Schizosaccharomyces pombe: one gene and its partners. The protein of the gene in region 1 interacts with the protein of each later gene in a pairwise test. Each region holds a gene or a part of one and is shown on either strand. Other genes may lie near its edges. The genes, in order: nap2, utp21 and isu1.

Region 1 (3,758 bases):
TACCTTATCATATAAACTCGGTGTGAGCTAACAATGCACTTAAAGATTGTTAATTAATGTACGAACAGATCTAGCTTTGACGTATAAAATAAATAGAAAAAGCTATTGCAGATAGTTATAGTAATAGCCGCTTACTTTTTGCTGGCTGTCCGCATTATCATTTTAGAAAAGCAAATGCTAATAAATAACACCACAGCTTCAAATAATGCGCGTACTAACCTAATACTAGCTATTAAAAAAGGAACCATGTAAGTAGAATATACTCACAGAATGATAAAAAATTACTTAGTATATTTTTTATACCTGCATTGGAAAAAAAAATTCAAAATTTAAAAAGACAAGAAAACAAATTGAAATTTTAAAGACAAATCCTAACTTAGATCCGCTTATTAAATATTTTATAGGATACTACGACGTAAATCAACATTTTAATTTTTTAAGCCACAATAAACTTACCAAACTATAAGCGAAATTATCATTCAGCGTCAATTTCTCATTTTTGCTCACATTGAACTTACTCATAATCTAACGAACACAATATAAATATCAATCACTAATTTCGCTACTCAAAATTTCTTCGTCATCTGAAGACAGATCCTCCTCATCAGTATATGCGTCTTCAGAGTCTTCTTCATCCATTTGGTTAAAATCGCTCAAGTCACCTTCTTCTAAGAAACAGTCAATTGCCAAGGGTATGATTTGATCTTTAAAGACTTCTCCCAATTGATAGTCGAGTTCTAAAAGCTCTGTTTTGTCATCCAAACCATCATCAGATTCATCATCGTCCAACTGAGGAGGTGAGAAAAAGTTGAAAAAACTGTCATTAGGGACCGTAGTACGGACCAATCTAGTTTGATTTGTTTTACGGTTACGTTGTTTTTTTGTCTCCACTCTAACCGTTAAATTTTTTTCAGGCTTGATCCAATTAATCTTATCACCCTCAGCATGATCATACAAAAACTCACCCGAAGGACTTAAATCATCTTTATAGTAATAAGTTTTCGTTAAAATCTTGTTTGTAAAGTAATCATTTGAGTCAAATTCGAATTCTAGTTTGTAACCATGAACATCTCCCGAAAGGTTGGTAAAACGAATGTCGCTGAGTGATCGCAAGACATTTTCATCTTCTGGTGTTATCATTTCGCCAACCAAGAAAACATTATGAAGACAAGTCAGCCAAAATTCGGGAATTCCCTTAGGATCTGGAAGATTATTTTGAAATATTTCTTCCTCGTGATCTAATTCGTCGTCCACTGGTTCAGAAACACCCTTGATAATTTCGGCTCTTCTAGAGAAAATAGGTTGATATTTTTTCTCGTATTTTGTTTCCAGATCTAACATTTTTTGACGAAATTCATATTGAATTGCATCACAATCTTTTTGAAGGCCTTTCAATGCTGTAATACGATTTTGGACTGCTGGCGCAAGGCTCTCTATATATCCCGACGACTTTCCAACCAACGAGCTAAGGCGTCCCTCAATCATTGATAACATGGCCGGATTGTTGCGCAATAACCCGCTAACTTCATCATGTGCTGATTTGTCCTCCAGTTGTGATTGCAAGGTTTGTCTAGCTTTTTCTAATGCGGCCTTACTAAGATGTACATCTGAAGATGGAGTATTTTGTGGCGTTTGAGCAGCAAACCCATTCCAAGACTTCTTAAAATCTCCTGGACCTTTAGACATATTTTAATAATGCAAACGGAGATTAAATTAAATTGGTAAAGCTTCGTTGTTGGACTGTGGATCTTCGTGAAGTCTACCAAAGAGATGTTGGGCCTGACTCGTTATTGCAGCTTAGCATATTTTAATGATATGTTTACAGCATTTTTCGTATGAGAGTCTTTAATGAAATATATTTATGTGTTTAGCGGCTATCATAGTTTGGGATAGTATTTGGGGTTTTATTTGGAAGAATATGTAAAATTAGAAAGCATCCGGAAGTTTACATATACGTTGACTTTTTTCTCTCCGCTTTCCTTATACTTTCTCTGACAAAGGTAATGGATTGTATAAACCAAAGGCGCTGCTTTCAAATTCTGATGTAGCTGTCCAAATAGCTAAAAAAAAAATCAATGAAATAAACAAATGTATATATCTCGTTTAAGCAAAGTGTCTACGCTATTCATATTAGTTTAACATATGTATCGTATCCCAATTATTAGTTGAAAATTCTATAAAAAATATATATATATGGATACTGATTAATAAACAACTCTACGTATCATATACTTCTATATTCATGAGTTAAACAACCTTATTGTAGCATTTGTTTACTAGTTAGTTGCCCACGGAGGAGCGAAAAACTATCGGAACATAATTCAAAAGTCAAACTTGTAAATAAAAATCTGCTATTGTAACGGTCATTGCTAACTTAAATAAACAAATCATAATTAATATATATAAATTTATTAGCGATCGTTCTGTAAATAAATAGAAAATGAGAATGAATAATCCAACAGAAAAATATATATATATATAGTAAATTAAAGAATAAAGAATAAACTAATACACTGTATTGAGTACTAATGGACTTGGAAACGAGGTAAATGTTTCACTCACAACACTTTCAAACAAATGAAATATTTTCTTACATTAAATTTTAGGTTCAAATAAACCAAACTGTTTTGCTTTTTAGATTTTTCATTCACATTTTATGATAAACAATGCGATGATACCAAATAATGTTACTTGTGTATGGTGTTTGTTTGCTACCTTGACAATTATTCTCTGATGCAACGTTTTTTCAAAGAGGTTTTCATTACTATACATTTACCCACTACGCCAAATTTGCTTTGAAAATGAATTTGACATTCAAAAATCTACAGCAGCAGAAATTTGTTATTTCTGATGTTTCTGCAGATACCAAAGTATGATAATTGTGGCATATTATTTTTCTAACGTAAACAGATTTCAGAATTAAAAGAAAAAATTCAAACGCAACAGAATTATGAAGTCGAACGTCAAAAGTTAATTTACTCAGGTATATAACATAATTTTAATATGTAAAATACTAATTTATAGGTCGAATCCTTGCTGATGACAAAACTGTTGGCGAATACAATATAAAAGAACAGGATTTCATTGTATGCATGGTTTCACGACCCAAAACTTCCACCTCTACTCCGAAATCAGCTGCCAGTCCTGCCCCCAATCCTCCGGCTTCCGTACCTGAAAAGAAAGTTGAAGCTCCTTCTTCTACCGTGGCGGAATCTACCTCTACTACACAAACTGTTGCTGCTGCTGCCCCTTCAAACCCAGATACTACTGCCACTAGTGAAGCACCAATAGACGCCAACACATTGGCAGTTGGTGCTCAACGAAATGTTGCTGTCGAAAATATGGTAGAAATGGGATACGAACGCAGCGAAGTTGAAAGAGCCATGCGTGCCGCTTTTAACAACCCTGATCGGGCAGTGGAATACTTATTAACTGGTATTCCCGAAGACATTCTCAATCGACAGAGAGAAGAGAGTGCTGCAGCCCTTGCTGCTCAGCAACAGCAAAGCGAAGCCCTTGCTCCTACTTCCACTGGCCAGCCAGCGAATCTTTTTGAACAAGCTGCTTTATCAGAAAATGAAAATCAAGAACAACCTTCTAATACCGTTGGTGATGACCCTCTAGGCTTCCTTCGTAGCATTCCTCAATTTCAACAGCTAAGACAAATTGTTCAACAAAATCCACAGATGTTGGAAACTATATTGCAACAAATTGGGCAGGGAGATCCTGCATTGGCTCAAGCTATTACGCAAAATCCT
Region 2 (3,758 bases), on another chromosome or scaffold:
ATGGAACTTCCAACGTCTAATGAATCTATTAAGTTTCCTTTGTTGAAATCCCAAAATTTTAAAATCCCGTCCAGCGATGCAGTTACAAGAATGCGATTTACATTGTCCAACATAACTGCAGTGACTGGTTTGCCTGATAGAGAGCTTTGTCCAAATGATTTCCTTTTGATACCACTTTGCATGTTATAAACATCTACAACGCCTTTAGAGCTACCAATCAAACCAAAATTACCACAACAACTTACACAAACAGACCGTACTGACGTACCGTCACTAGTTGGTAAAACGTGTTGACCCAATGTTTTAGATTTCCAGTTCCAAGTGCGAGCAGAACTATCATTTTTGTGGGCAGTTAGAACATTATCCCAATATTTTTCACGAGTATTTGAAGAAGATAGGGCAGTTATCTCGGGTAATTTTAATTCTTCCGGGCGAACATTAAGTTTCTTTGCCTTTGAAATAACAGAGCCTTGAGATAGTTCGGTTGATTGTGAGTCTTGGTATAAACTAACTGCTCTTAATGACCGATCAGTTGCAGCCGAAATCAAGAAGTGCACACTTTTCCCATAAAACTTAACAAATGAAGGTGGCTCGTAATGACCATTACGAGAACGTAGGATTCTAGGAGCACCATCCATTGAATCAAAGATCCATTCTTTAAGAGAGTTATCTGGACCAGCAGTTACTAATATGGGCTGCCCGTTAAGAAACTGTATCTTTGGAAGTGACCCAAAATGAGCATTATATGTAACATTTTGAATTCTTCGCTTTGAAAGATCCCAAAAAGAAAGGTCACCAATGGGGTTGGAAGAAGCTAATATTGGTGTCCCATCAGTACGGAATGAACATGAAAGAACTTGGCCATCTTGTTTGAATTCCATGAGTATTGAACCATTTTTAAGATTAAAGATTACAATACGACCACTAATAGTACCAACAGCTAAAACATCGAGGACAGGGGCTTGTGTTAAACTAGTGATTCCATCACCAAAAAATTCCTGAAATTCATGTACACGTTTAGAAACACGCAAATTCCAAATCTGTAATGCTCCATCTGAGAATCCTAGCAGTATTTTGTTCAAATAAGTGCTTGGATGTAGTAAACTAGTGATATCTGCATTGGTATTAGGAAGAAATGTAGTATGAAGCTCAGGAACACTATATTTAGAAGCGTGTTTCCATACATAAACATGACGAGAAGATGTACAAGCAATAATCCACTCACCAAAAGCATCTAAATGAGTGACTGTTCCATGTTCTTGCTCCACATCAATGTCCCATATTATTTTACCACGTTTATATGCAAAAATTTTTGATCCGGCAGCTACAAGCATGAAATCTTTAAAGGATTTTAAACAAGTAATTTCCTTGTCTAATTGCTTGCCAACGAAAAGCAAATTCAACTTTTCGCAGTCATATGTTTGAAATGTGTTTCCCACCGACGTTGTTACCAAAAAATGGGTTCCACGAGCCTCAATGTCGAAAGGTACTGCATTGGAAACGTGACCGATGGATCTAAAGGCTAAAAATACAGTTAGCAATCTGTTCATTCCAAAAGAAAAAGAGAGAATTTTGACTTACGAGCATAGATCCTAGATTTTCTTAGAGGCTTCACCGCATTTTCATAAGTCCTCCGTTTCTTCTCTGCAAATGGCATTTTATCACAGGAAAGAACACAAATAGCACGTAAAATGGCAAAGGATGGCTCTTGTCCTGTAACTTGCAAAAAGCAGTGTTTGTGAAATTCTAGCAACCCTTTACGACCTACAGTAATAATCGTTAATTTACGACAGTGTATTTACTGAAATCGATAAATGTGTTTAACGATATGGTCAATCCGTCATATATCAATTTTCGGTAATTATAAATAAGAATCGTTCTGCTATTGTTCCGTTTATTTAAGTAAACAAATTATTTATTATTAAAAAAAAAAGAGAACTAAACATTGATGTCTAATGTTATTGTAAGATTTAATCGTAAAAACATGTTAGCAAAACTTCTACATTCTCTTCAGAATACCTAAAGAACTCTATTCACATATATCAAAAAGTGGTAAGGTAAATCTATGATTGTTGGAATTCTGGGCTTGTAAATAATGAAATAAATTTCAGTAAATTCTTAAAAAATATTTTTCTTTATGTAAAAGGTGCGAGAACAATATACTCTTGAACCCAGCTAGTAGAAGTAATTTTTTAATGTTTGTTGCTTGTAAAATTTAAACATTCCAGTCCACGTGTTTTCGCACGGACGAAAAGTAAAAACCTATTAAACAAAAATTTTTTCTAATTCTTTTTTAATTTAATATTGATGGATTTTACAAGCTTTTACTAAACTGGAAGAATACGTTTTTGAAAGAAGAATAACAGAAACTGGGCTTGGTTAAAAAAATTTTTATGAAAACCCAAATTAACTAACCCAGTATAATTAGTAAAAAAGTTATTCATAGAAGCATTACTGCGAAACAAATTCAATATTCACTGTCCACTTCATTTAAGCAACAATTTCTTATTTATTTACATTTCGTTAGGTAAACAAATGTTACCTCGCTGAATTGTAAGGTTAACCGTACAAGTAACATTGATCGACTAGGTGTGTACTAACACCGTGTACCTACATCTCTCATAACCAAACAAGTGAGGGAATTGGCCATTGAAAGAATACAAGTGGGAAAAAGGTGTTTTAAGCGTTATTAAATATTTTAACGTAGTTGAATAATAAAGGATGATTCAAAATGCAAGTCATCTTACATCTATCGACACAGAGTCATCTACCAGAACGGCGTCGCCTGTTTCCTCAATCGTTACACCTACTAAACGAAATGTAGTTGGAATCTGTGCCATGGATGCCAAAGCTCGCTCAAAACCATGTCGGAATATTCTGAACAGAATCATCGCAGAAGGTGAGTTTGAAGCCATAGTATTCGGTGACAACATGATTTTGGACGAAGCTGTGGAAAATTGGCCTGCTTGTGATTATTTGATATGTTTCTACTCTAGTGGATTTCCATTGAAGAAAGCTGAAAAGTATGTCGAGTTGCGTAAACCTTTTTGTGTAAACGATGTAGTATTCCAAGAGTTGCTTTGGGATAGACGGCTTGTGTTGAACATCCTTGATGCCATACGTGTTTCCACCCCTCAGCGTTTGATTTGCTCTCGTGATGGAGGTCCTAAAATTAATAAAGTCCTAGAAGAAAAGTTGCGTCGAAAGTTTGGAATAGAAATCACAGAGGTTCCTACCCCAGAAGTAAAAATGTTGGACGAAGATACTCTTTCTGTTGATGGCAAGATAATAAAGAAGCCGTACGTTGAAAAACCAGTCTATGGTGAAGATCACAATATTTATATTTATTTCCCTAAATCCGTTGGTGGGGGAGGTCGCAAATTATTTCGTAAAGTCGCAAATAAGTCTTCAGATTATGATCCAGATCTTTGTGCTCCACGCACTGAAGGATCTTTTATTTACGAGGAATTCATGAATGTCGATAACGCGGAAGACGTAAAGGTTTATACCGTGGGTCCTCATTACAGCCATGCAGAAACCCGCAAATCACCCGTAGTGGACGGAATTGTGAGAAGGAATCCACATGGTAAGGAAATTAGGTTTATCACCAATCTTTCAGAGGAAGAAAAAAATATGGCCTCTAAGATATCAATTGCGTTTGAGCAACCTGTTTGTGGATTTGATCTTCTTCGTGTCTCAGGTCAGTCGTATGTGATTGATGTGAATGGATGGTCCTTCGTCAAGGATAACAACGATTA
Region 3 (3,758 bases), on another chromosome or scaffold:
CAATAAAGTTAAATATGAGTTTTGCAATAAAAGAGAGGGAATTAAAAGAAAAAAAAAACAATAAATTTCAATTATACAGCTAATCTATGATAACACGATTAGCATCAAATATCTCTCATACCAAACTAGATGTTTATTATAATTGATCTTCTGTTTACCAGTACGTTGTAAAGGTAAACACTCACTTACAAATGATTAATTCCCGATTTGAAGATAAATTCACAATAACTTTTGATGGAGAGAAGACAAGTGTGGGGATCTCATGCTCAAAGCCGAATCCCTTTTAAGTTTCGAAATTCCAAGCATGAGTCCAATTCGCACAATACGCAAAGTTGCGTTTGCTTCGCTTTACAAGCTGGATAGAACGATTTCTAAGCTACTAAATTATAGCGCAGCAAAGGATAAATCCGTAGGAGTCTGTTATTTTTAAAAAATGCAATACAACTTCAGCATCCTCAACATATATTGCAATGTAACGTTAATATGCACAATCAAAAATTTACCAATTTGAATGAATAGCATTGCACTACGTTACATTCAACGTTCTTGAGTTCTGTTGCTATACACTCCAAGACACTTGTGGAGCATGTGAGATATAAAATTAAGAGAAGTCTCAGATACCACTGATTCAATTTCGAAATACCGATATTTACATTAAATAATAAAAACAAAATTTAAAAAATAGTTATAATTTCTCATATTTATCACACTCCTCAATTGCTTGGAGGCCCATTACTTTATTGCAATCTCCAACGGCCTTCCTATCTTAATTAAGGATGACGGGCGCAGTAATGTTATATCGCTAATTTACTGAATGCTGTAAAAAACTAGTCATCCTTTAAAAAAACCGTTAGACCGCTAAACTGTTATTGGTGAAATAGACTGTTTCGAATATTACTTTGTTACACATCAAATGTATAGTGCCTTTTTGCAACCTGTTCCTTTTTTTTTCGCCCAGCTCCGTTATTCCGTGATGCGGAACCCTAGTTCCAGCAACTATGGACTCGCTCTTGCCTATTGGAAAGTATGATCGTAGGTTAGCGGCCTTGGCAATGTTATCGGGATCGATTGTTGCAAAAAAACATACGCAGTGCAAGAGGTGCATTAAAAAAAATAAAAAAAATAAAAACGGCTTAACCATTTCTTATACAAACTTCTCTTTTTGAAAGATTATCCTTACACCTTTTTTATTTACATGTATAATCCAAACCAGCAACTAATTACATATCGAAATAAATGCAAAACAGATAAACAAATGGAAACCAAAAAACCGTTCAAGCATGTATCCCAGCTTCTAGTCGTGCATCCACCAACTTTTCATCATCATTTTTGTTAAACATACAAGCACCCTACCCGTTCTCTGCCGTCTGTCTCATGCCGTCCCTTCCACCTGTACTCCCTAACTGACTACTTTCTTTCTCGCTAACTACTTCTTGCCTGCTATCTGATATTCCTTCCTCAGTTAAAGGGGGACGGCATCTTCTTTCCAATTTCCATATCCCACATCCCACAACCTTGTTTCGAATATACTGTGAACACATATCCTTCACCATCGAACACTGGAATTTCCATATTGTGTATGGAAAACAACTTTATTTGTCTAGCTGTACATCATACTTGCATAAGCTTCAGACTGCTTTGTTGTGGCCTCCCCAAAACTTTTTCTTCGTAAATCTAGTAATACCGGATTACGTTTTAGTCCCTTAATTGGCGTTTACTGCTGAAACCGCATTTCCGATTCGCTTGCCACTATTGCCTTCCCTATTTTATTCGCTACCATCCACCTTAAGCTAGCTTTGTGATTTGTTAGGGAAAAACAGTCACATTTTCGACAAACAGAATTTCTTCTCATATCAGATGAGATAAAGATGGCCGAAAACACTCAAGACTGACTTGCACTATATATAGCAGGCACTGCTCTCAAACACTACTGACTCATACAACTCACCAACATTTAATATTGGACGTTTTGAACATAAATTTAAAGTTGTTTTGAAAAATAATTTCATTGAATAAAGCAATTCGTTTTGTGTGCTATAAGACTACATAACTCTGACACGATTTTTTTCAACCACGTCTTGATTGTTTATTGTCGATACATAGTTGAATCGATTTTTCCTTTCATCGAGTGTACATAGTTATTGTCATCTTATTAACCCGGTTTACAAATTTCCTTGCGTTACCCTTACACACTTTTTAACGTCATTTACGTATAAGGAGATTTAAAGGCAAAGCTGTTATTTTTTTTTATATAGATCAGATAAAATCTGAAACTTTGAAAACTCCCTGCCATCCCCCAAAAACACTGAAAACGTACTCAAGCCTTTTACTTGATACGTTTTGAAAACAAATCTAGTTGGATTTGTGATACAGATATTTTGTTAGATCTTGACGTGATTTGTCATCTGATTTTTTTCTTTTTTCTTTTGTTTTCCCTAAAATGAGTGTCTTCCGTCGCTCCGTTCAATGCGTTGGCGTTTTGCCTTCAATTTTGGCTCAACGCTCTTCTCTTCTTGCCCGTCCAGCGAATTTACAGTTTCTCAAAACGAACTCGTCAAAATTCGTCCCTCAAGTCACCGCAAACGTCTCTCGTCGTATGTACCATAAGAATGTTTTAGACCATTACAACAATCCTCGGAATGTGGGTACTTTGCCCAAAGGTGATCCCGATGTGGGTATCGGCTTGGTAGGTGCTCCCGCCTGTGGCGATGTTATGCGCCTTGCTATTCGTGTCAATAAGGATGGTGTTATTGAGGACGTAAAGTTCAAGACCTTTGGTTGTGGTAGTGCAATTGCCTCGTCATCCTACGTTACCACTATGGTCAAGGGCATGACCCTTGAGGAGGCTTCTAAAATTAAAAACACCCAAATTGCCAAAGAGCTTTGCTTGCCTCCTGTAAAACTTCATTGCTCCATGCTTGCCGAGGATGCCATTAAAAGCGCTGTAAAGCATTATCGCTCTAAACAATTAACGCCTGTTGGTACAACTGCTGGCGCTATTGAGTCTGCTACCGCTTAGAAACTTGATTGTAAAGTCATAGCTTTCATCTGTTTAAAAATCTGCTAATTTCCGCTCCGCTTTTTGACCCCGCCTCCTAATTTTCTACCCGGTCCTTTTAATTCCTAAACTGCGTACATGTAAACAGTGTTTTCCACATAAGATTGCTTGTCGACTTTGGCGTAAACATATGGTCTATGTGTTTGCTTGCATTCTTCCTCCCATTTAGCAATATATATTGATTAATGTTTCTGCACTATATGTATCTGGACTAAATTGATGCAAGTGCTTTCTTTCAAAATGCTGCTGATGCTTATTTGCTTGTTATTGTGGTTATAAAAATCATTACTCTGTACATTTTCCCCTTCCTTTTTTTTTAGTTCCTGCTATAGCATTTTATTCGAATCTTTATACGTCTAATGAAAAATAATTTAGAGTCTTTTATTTCTAAACTATAAGCTGTTTCTGTGTTTGCTTAAACTTTAGTAGTATACATGAATATCATCTTCTAGCTATTAAACCATGTAATATAAATGTTCATATATATTCATTGTTTCGTTGCCCATCACGCAAATAGTCAGAAAGGACTGTCTTGCCTATATTAAACTCATTACCAAAACCGTTTGCCACACCCAAATTTAAGGGTACCATAACTTGATTGTACGATCGTATCCTGATGAGATAAATCTGTCTCCGTAACCGTCAACACTCATAACCTTTTCTTCGTGTCCCACCATACTTTTAATCAATGAGCAGTTCA

What was found.
Region 2: the proteins of nap2 (region 1) and utp21 interact in a two-hybrid assay, tested with the Schizosaccharomyces pombe proteins (2 studies listed by BioGRID).
Region 3: the proteins of nap2 (region 1) and isu1 interact in a two-hybrid assay, tested with the Schizosaccharomyces pombe proteins (2 studies listed by BioGRID).

Annotation. Positions count from the first base shown.
Region 1 is NC_003423.3:2,984,163-2,987,920, forward strand, and holds nap2 (nucleosome assembly protein Nap2), read right to left. Parts: upstream 1,738-3,758; 5' UTR 1,687-1,737; coding exon 547-1,686; 3' UTR 345-546; downstream 1-344. Other genes in the region: UV excision repair protein rhp23, read left to right, coding at 2,802-2,870, 2,911-2,983, 3,025-3,758.
Region 2 is NC_003421.2:573,436-577,193, reverse strand, and holds the start of utp21 (U3 snoRNP-associated protein Utp21), read right to left. Parts: upstream 1,711-3,758; 5' UTR 1,658-1,710; coding exon 1,582-1,657; exon of another isoform or gene 1,523-1,581; coding exon 1-1,522. Other genes in the region: asp1 (inositol hexakisphosphate kinase/inositol pyrophosphate synthase), read left to right, coding at 2,722-3,758.
Region 3 is NC_003424.3:517,126-520,883, reverse strand, and holds isu1 (Fe-sulfur cluster assembly protein Isu1), read left to right. Parts: upstream 1-1,932; 5' UTR 1,933-2,440; coding exon 2,441-3,019; 3' UTR 3,020-3,468; downstream 3,469-3,758. Other genes in the region: rna4 (Prp4 family U4/U5/U6 small nuclear ribonucleoprotein complex subunit), read right to left, coding at 3,637-3,758. UniProt on the Schizosaccharomyces pombe protein: Scaffold protein for the de novo synthesis of iron-sulfur (Fe-S) clusters within mitochondria, which is required for maturation of both mitochondrial and cytoplasmic [2Fe-2S] and [4Fe-4S] proteins.